Schizosaccharomyces pombe: one gene and its partner. Changing the gene in region 1 together with any one later gene gives a genetic interaction. Each region holds a gene or a part of one and is shown on either strand. Other genes may lie near its edges.

Region 1 (3,591 bases):
GCACTCATTGGGTTTGTGCTATTTAGCTCAACAACATTTGTCATTCTTATTTTAATTTCGTACTCAATCGCATTAGCCCGAATTCTATTAACATTTTTACACTAAAAGCTATTTTACGGTATATTTAGTAAAGGTAAAGAAACACAGCTATGAAAGTGCTGCCAAAAATTTCAATTGACGAAATCAGCCATCAATGGCTGTAACTATTGAATTCCATTGTCTTTCAACTTTTGAATTATCGCAGCCTACAACAAAAAATGAAATTAATCACAATCTCTTCAATCTTCATCGTTACAGATAAATATAATACATGCGAGACGTGTAGGGAAGAAGACCAAAGAAAGTAATTTTAGAGATAAATTCTTACCTTCTTTCTTCACTGTATCCGAAGCCTTCAAAAACTGACTAAACTATTTAAGTTGCTCATGCAACACAAAGTACACGACAATTATATTTTGCAAATTAGTAATCCTCACAATAATCTCCTTTAGTATAGGGGTAGTACACAAGCCTGTCACGCTTGCAGCCCGGGTTCGAATCCCGGAGGGAGAGTTTTTAACTAAAATATTTTTTAAATTACCATATTTAACAAAAGAGGATAATAATGAGGATATGCTAGTAAAATTTTACTATCGAACCTTAATGAGTCGAAGAAGCAAATACAATAAACCTTCTTGGAAGGTTGTATACATTGCTGCAAAATATCTCATATATTGAATAATGAATATGTTTCATTAATAACAATAAGTTATGTGTTCATTAAGACTCCGAGCTTAAAAGCTCTCGATTATGATGGCATGCTATGTCTTTACCACCATCTAAACTGGCTTAATCGAAACATAAGAATGTTATATCGATTGAAGTTGAGTTTTAGAAAATCAAGGTATCTTTTTTTCATCATCAGCTGACCTTTCAACCCTTCAATTTATATTTATTTGAAGACTATGCAAATGCTTTGTATAATAGCATCCATCCTTAGTTGGTGAGCCATTGGATATGATTTTATATATAAGCCAAAGTTACATTAATAACCTGTTAGTTGCTATAACAGTCAAAAAGTCATTGGCTTGGAAATCACGATGAACTATCTAACGAAACACCCAAGTCTGTCTTCAATCAAAAAGGGAGATGTATTGATGTCTATCCGTATCACCTGGCTCTTTTTTTACTTTCCAATGAGATTGTAATCTTTAATGACGGGTAGTTACTGTGATGAGGCTTTTATTTTTAATTTGAAGACGCCATCTGTAATTCATCGCCGCCGATCAGTTACTTGGATGCGAACAAAATCAGCAAATAATAGCTGCATATTCAGATATTTATCATGTATCAATTACACTTACGAATGCAACCCAATACTCGCCATACTTGCAAGCTTCCGAGTCCGAAACACTTTTATCAAATTTGAAATATGGCAATTTTATGTTAGAAAAGTCTCTAAACTTTTGTGGTACTATTGATCTTAAGTCTAACATTAAAAAATTAATTTTTTTGACGCTAATTGTCTTTAAAATTCGATCTCTGTTCAATATTAATGCTTGTGTCATATCATCAGACTACACTATTTCTATGCAAAGATTTATATAAAATGACCAGAAAAGCTTAAAAAATCAGATCCACTAATTTGCAACCGAAACTGGAAATATGTAACCGAAATTTGATACTACGGAGTTATGAACCCGGCAGCCAAAGGCAAGTTTGTTTGTAGTCACAAAAATGAAAGTCGAAAGATGGTAAGAATTTTGATATATAAAGGGGGCTCATAGCATGTTTCAGCATCAATTGAACATTCCACTATCGGTTCTGAATATTATTCTTAAGTTTCAAAATGGCCCCTGCTACTGCTGTCGTTACACCCCAAACTGCCTTCAAGACTGACTTGCCAGTTGAAAAGACTGCTCATAACACTGTAGTGAAAAGTGAAATGGGTGCTTTATCAAAGGCTTACCCTACTTACTCTTTGGACGAGTCATTTAGCTTTGCTCCTATTCGTGAAAGCACTGTAAGCCGTGCTATGACTCGTCGCTATTTCAGCGACTTGGATAAATATGCTGAATCCGACATTGTTATTGTTGGAGCTGGTTCTGCAGGACTTACTGCAGCTTACTACATTGGAACTCGCCGCCCTGATTTGAAGATTGCTATCATCGAGGCTAGTGTTGCTCCAGGTGGTGGTGCTTGGCTTGGTGGTCAGCTTTTTAGTGCAATGGTTGTTCGTAAGCCAGCTGATCTTTTCTTAAATGAAATTGGTGTTCCTTACGAAGATGAGGGTGATTATGTTGTGGTCAAACATGCCGCTCTTTTCACCAGCACTGTTATGGCCCGTACTTTGGCACTTCCTAATGTCAAACTTTTCAATGCCACTGCTGTTGAAGATTTGATTGTTAAGGAAGGAAAAGATGGTAAGCAACGCATTGCCGGTGTTGTTACAAATTGGACCCTTGTTTCCTTGAATCACGGTCTTCAATCTTGCATGGACCCAAACACTATTAATGCCCATTTGGTTGTTTCTGCTACTGGTCATGATGGTCCATTCGGCGCTTTCTGTGTCAAGCGCCTTGCCAGTGCTCAACTTGTTTCTAACCTTCACGACATGCGTCCTTTAGATATGAACCGTGCTGAGGACCTTATTGTAAAGGGAACTCGTGAAGTTTTTCCAGGAATGATTGTTGGAGGTATGGAGCTTTCTGAATTTGATGGTGCCAACCGTATGGGACCAACCTTCGGTGGTATGATGTTTAGCGGCATCAAAGCTGCTCAAGAAGCTCTTGCTATTTTTGATGAACGTAAGGCTGTTAATGAAAAGTACTTGTAAAGAAAATAGTGTACTAGCAACCTTTTGATATTTCTACATTTGTTTTAGTCATTGATTTTACCATTACTACAACGTTTTTTAATGCAATTTACTTATACTCAAAGAGATTCAAATACATTTACTTAACAGAATAAACCTGCTTTTCTCGTAGTTTTGGTTAGCTATGAGTTTTATGCCTTTTCACGTAGTTTTGTACAATATAATTGGCTAACGAAATATCACAACAGTTTAGAGTAAACTGTAAGCGAGATCTTGCGTTATCTTCTCAATTTCACAGATCGCTTAATATAATATTTTATATTGGATGAACTAACAAATTAAATAATAAAAGGCTATTTCTATAGGGAAGATATCAAAGTACTTTCATGTTCAACCATTTGCCCTAAATTATTGGAAATTAGTAAAACTCTCTAACAAATTATTAACGGTTTACATTGTCATATTGATTGTATTAATTGCATTTAAACCGGTTAAAAAAACTATTGATAGTATAATCGTAAGGACACATGCTTTAAATTGGATGCATCATATACATCTACTCTGATATTGCTGCGTATAAAGGTTTCGATGATATAGGTTAAAAATGTCTATTAAAATTGACTTGACATTGGCGAGCAATGAAATAAAGAAACTGCCATCGATTGACAAATCATTAATGCATACCGAAATAGCTCAAAAACATGGAAATCGAAAATGCCTATGTGATATGGATTCACTTCATTTCGTACTCAGCACAAAAAAATAGAATAAAAACTAACAGTCAATACCACTATCAA
Region 2 (4,899 bases), on another chromosome or scaffold:
ATTGGTAGCCTTTGGAAGTTTGGAATCTGGTTTAGCACTTAAAAATTCGGATATGGATTTGTGCGTGCTTATGGATTCGCGCGTCCAAAGTGATACAATTGCGCTCCAATTCTATGAAGAGCTTATAGCTGAAGGTAAGTATAATTATTCATTAAAAGTTATTCAGTTTAGACAAACTATCTCTGAATATTGTTTTTTTCCTTTCCAGTTGGCTCGCATAACTAACTATCGACAGGATTTGAAGGAAAATTTTTACAAAGGGCAAGAATTCCCATTATCAAATTAACATCTGATACGAAAAATGGATTTGGGGCTTCGTTTCAATGTGATATTGGATTTAACAATCGTCTAGCTATTCATAATACGCTTTTACTTTCTTCATATACAAAATTAGATGCTCGCCTAAAACCCATGGTCCTTCTTGTTAAGCATTGGGCCAAACGGAAGCAAATCAACTCTCCTTACTTTGGAACTCTTTCCAGTTATGGTTACGTCCTAATGGTTCTTTACTATCTGATTCACGTTATCAAGCCTCCCGTCTTTCCTAATTTACTGTTGTCACCTTTGAAACAAGAAAAGATAGTTGATGGATTTGACGTTGGTTTTGACGATAAACTGGAAGATATCCCTCCTTCCCAAAATTATAGCTCATTGGGAAGTTTACTTCATGGCTTTTTTAGATTTTATGCTTATAAGTTCGAGCCACGGGAAAAGGTAGTAACTTTTCGTAGACCAGACGGTTACCTCACAAAGCAAGAGAAAGGATGGACTTCAGCTACTGAACACACTGGATCGGCTGATCAAATTATAAAAGACAGGTATATTCTTGCGATTGAAGATCCTTTCGAGATTTCACATAATGTGGGTAGGACAGTTAGCAGTTCTGGATTGTATCGGATTCGAGGGGAATTTATGGCCGCTTCAAGGTTGCTCAATTCTCGCTCATATCCTATCCCTTATGATTCATTATTTGAGGAGGCCCCAATTCCGCCTCGTCGCCAGAAAAAAACGGATGAACAATCTAACAAAAAATTGTTGAATGAAACCGATGGTGACAATTCTGAGTGATTTTACAAAGAAGTCTTAAAAAGCGCATCAATATTCATTCCCCTAGATTCATAGTAATCATTCATTATTACTCTGCTTTTATTTGCTTACTTTTGAAAGCATGGAATGTTTTTATTTTTCTTTAAAAATTTTGACCTCTTGTTTCTAATACCTTTCCCCCTTTGTTTTATGTACAACCTCTTGTTAATAGTCTACTTGTTGGTGAGAAAATAGGCTCATCATAGTTAACATCAATGTCCAAAAAATTTTCATAGATCTATAATTAATAATTATTTATTGCAAATGCTAAGCTATTGTTTATATCAATTTCTTTAAATTGAACGGAAATAACCAAATATTTTTTCGTTTAGCCTCGGTAATGTGCGTAAACACATATAAAGAGTTTATCTTTTTTTCTTAATTACTATAGCGTACAGAAATTATTTTAGCTTATCAAATTTTTTCGTAAAATTCATATTGTTTCCAAATTTGTAGACGCATTGCAGCATGCTAACCATCACATTTGAACTTTTACCAAACATTCAGCTGGGTCTATTTCCCTTCTGTTCGTTGGTACAATTCATTAGAACATAATAAATTTGGCATTTTTCTCAAGGTGGGTATTTAACTATATTTCGAGATTTTGATGCTTTAAGCAAAAATGAGGATAACGAAAAGTCCTCCTAAAAATCAATATTCTCAGCCACCTCCTAGGGTTGCTGAGTTTATTAGACAAGCTCAAAATGAAGAAGTAACTTCAGACTTGGGTCTTGTCTCTCTTTGTTCAGAATTCAGAAAAAACGATTGGCCATATCCTCGTGGCGATTTGTATTCATGGGTCCCAGTTTTGAATAGGTTTGATGCTATTCTGGAACGTATTGTTGAACATTATTCTTTAAAGGATAAAGTTCAGACAAAACCTTTTGATTCTGACACTTTGAGTATCTTGTTAGAGATCCTGAGCTTTTCGGCGCATCTGCTTAGTCATTGCGCGAATCGCTCCATATATAACTCTACTGTTTATCTAGAGTATTTATTAAATAGCTCTGTGCTCGAAGTTATAGATTCTACATTAGCCTTGCTTCTTCATATTGTACAAAAAGCAACGATTTCAAAGCGAGGAAAGCAGCTGTTTTCTCTTTCACAAGATCGGTTATTTCGCTTTTTAATGTTTCTTCCTCAAGATGCAATGAAAACCGGATTTTCACAAAATTACGAGACTTTGTTATTTTCAAATGAGATCCCGCAAGAATGGTGTTCTTTGGAGCTTTCTTATTATAAAAGCTCTCCATCAAAAGATTTTTCATCTGCAAGTCAACCAAATTCTGAAGGATTTTCGATTTTAAAATTACCATATAATAAAGTTCTTGGAAAGCCTATAGAAGAGCTTCTTGTGAAAACTTTGCACGATAATCAGATTCCTGAACAATATTCATTTGATCTCCTTGTTTCACTAATGTTACGTCAAAATCTTTATGATATAAATAGACGGCGCTTGATGATTCGTATCGGATTATTGGCTCTTTCTAATCTTGTTTATGCTCATTCTCAGGCAGTTCAAACAAGATTTTTAATCGCCGATCCGGAAATCACCACCCATTTAGCTAATTTGGTTTCTCCAGATGTGGATCTTCCTCAAAACTTTAAAGCTGTTTGTTTTGAATGTTTTAAAGCTTTCTTCTTTAAGAAGAGTATGATTCCATCTGTACTGGCATCTTTAAATGTATCTGTTAGTTACGGATTAATGATGAATCTCGTTCGTGATTTTTCTAAAAACTTAGAAAACCCGAATTTCTATTACGAGAGAGAATATGTTGATAGTTTTTATGACTTCCTTCAATTTATGACTTCATCGCCTCTTGGCGGTAACATGGCCTGTTCTGCAGGTCTCACTTCTCTTTTGGGTTATCATCTGTCTGTGAAGACTCCACAGGCTACTTATGTTGTAGCAAGATCGATTGTCATGTTGGACCATCTCATCGATGGTTACTCTATGGCATTCCCAGATTTTTCTGAGTCTAAAGGATTGGATATGCTGGTTGACCGTGTTCAATACGAGCTTGAGGCTGGACTTCAAGATATTAAATCTGGAAAAGGTAACCCAGAGATTGTTTTAAATATGGATTATGCCATTTCATATGACCGTTACTTCCTTCTAAAAAATTTACTCAAGTTTGTGTTACATCTAATTCAATCAGGTGGCTCTGTCGTTGAGCTTCGTAATTTAATTGATTCTTCTCTCATTTCATCCCTTGCTTTTCTGCTAGAGCACCATGAAGTCTATGGCTCCAACTTATTCGCATCTACTACTAATATAATGTCAACATTCATCCATAATGAGCCTACTTGCTATGGAATTATTCATGAAAAGAAATTGTCACATGCATTTTTGGATGCTGTCAATCGGAAAATACTCAATTCTTCTGATGCAATAACATCAATTCCTTTAGCTTTTGGTGCAATATGCTTGAACTCTCAAGGGTTTGATTTATTTTTAGAGAAAAATCCTATCCCACAACTTTTCTCAATATTCACATCGTTAAATCATTGTAAGTCACTTATATCAAGCGATAATGCTGCCATCCTTGGTACTTACATCGACGAACTTATGCGGCATCAACCCTCCCTTAAAGATCCAATTGTGAAGATGATATTTAAAGCCTGTGACCAGGTTTCCGCTCTTCTTGACAATTTCAATCCATTTCAATATATAAATGCCAAAGAATATCCTTATTTGTTGTATCTTGAAACATTTTCTAGTTTTCTTGAAAATATTATTACAAACGAAGGTCACGCAAGGTATTTAATATCCAAAGGGATTGTGTCGCACGTGCTCAATCTCATTCAACATCCCGTACTGGCTTTTGGATTTATAGACTCTTCTGCCTTCAACTCGTTTTTTGTTCTTTTACATCATGCAGTTGATTTTGATGCTCCAGAGGTCTTTCGGCCCTTGCTAGACTGTATAATTACTCGATGTGAAGAAGGCATTACTGAGTTTACTATAGTCTCACTGAAACAAGCCACGATTTCATTGATAAAGGACTCAAATATGGGCCACGAAGATGCAAATAATTTTCTACATTTCTCAATCGTTGGGAATTTGCTGACTATTTTCGCTGAGCTATTTTCTTCCCATGCTGCATTGAAAAAAGCTGGAAATCTTCCATTAGTTCAACTTTTTATTAGTCCTTCACGTTATGCTGGTATTTTTGATATTTTATGTAATATTAAAAGCATTGCAACATCATTGGACATACATATATGTTTAGGTGTTTCTGATGACTTTGTTCTTTGCAGTGACTCCTTGACTACCATCGTTACCGACAAAGATGAAAAAGAAAAGTTTGAGACAAAGAAAAAGGAATTAACACAAGATTCATCTTTTTGTAAATTTCAGAATATACGTTCGAATTTTTCTCAAATTGCTTATGGAGTATCTAAGTTTTTCACTTCATTAACTCGAGCTTTAGGAAATACAAGCGTACAAGATTTCAATGAATACAAAATGATTCATAAACTTGGTAGTAATATCGCTCTTGTTGTTGATGAACTTATTAACTTATCAAGCAAGCAAATCACATCTCATCCGCAATCCCTCAGTATTGCTTCTTTAGAGGCCTCCTTAATTTTTGTTTTAGGTGCTTCATCCATAATTCGAGAAGATGATTCAAAGGTTACTCTTGTGCTTCTGATCAGTCGTCTACTGGGTGGGTGTCGAACAATGGATGTATTGATTAGCTTAAATGAGACCGTTTCTGGCTTTTTTCGTTTGTCCGATAGAGATCCTCTTTCCAAGAGTAATCGTGTTTTGCTTGCTCTTTCATCCACCTTATTGAACTTGATTCTTGT

The links.
Region 2: mutations in thi2 (region 1) and ptr1 impair growth when combined (synthetic growth defect), as found in Schizosaccharomyces pombe (one study listed by BioGRID).

The regions. Positions count from the first base shown.
Region 1 is NC_003423.3:3,938,746-3,942,336, forward strand, and holds thi2 (thiazole biosynthetic enzyme), read left to right. Parts: upstream 1-1,780; 5' UTR 1,781-1,828; coding exon 1,829-2,815; 3' UTR 2,816-2,954; downstream 2,955-3,591. UniProt on the Schizosaccharomyces pombe protein: Involved in biosynthesis of the thiamine precursor thiazole. Catalyzes the conversion of NAD and glycine to adenosine diphosphate 5-(2-hydroxyethyl)-4-methylthiazole-2-carboxylic acid (ADT), an adenylated thiazole intermediate.
Region 2 is NC_003424.3:5,207,068-5,211,966, forward strand, and holds the start of ptr1 (E3 ubiquitin-protein ligase), read left to right. Parts: upstream 1-1,572; 5' UTR 1,573-1,708; coding exon 1,709-4,899. Other genes in the region: terminal uridylyltransferase Cid1, read left to right, coding at 1-134, 236-1,068. UniProt on the Schizosaccharomyces pombe protein: Probable ubiquitin ligase protein involved in mRNA export. E3 ubiquitin ligase proteins mediate ubiquitination and subsequent proteasomal degradation of target proteins.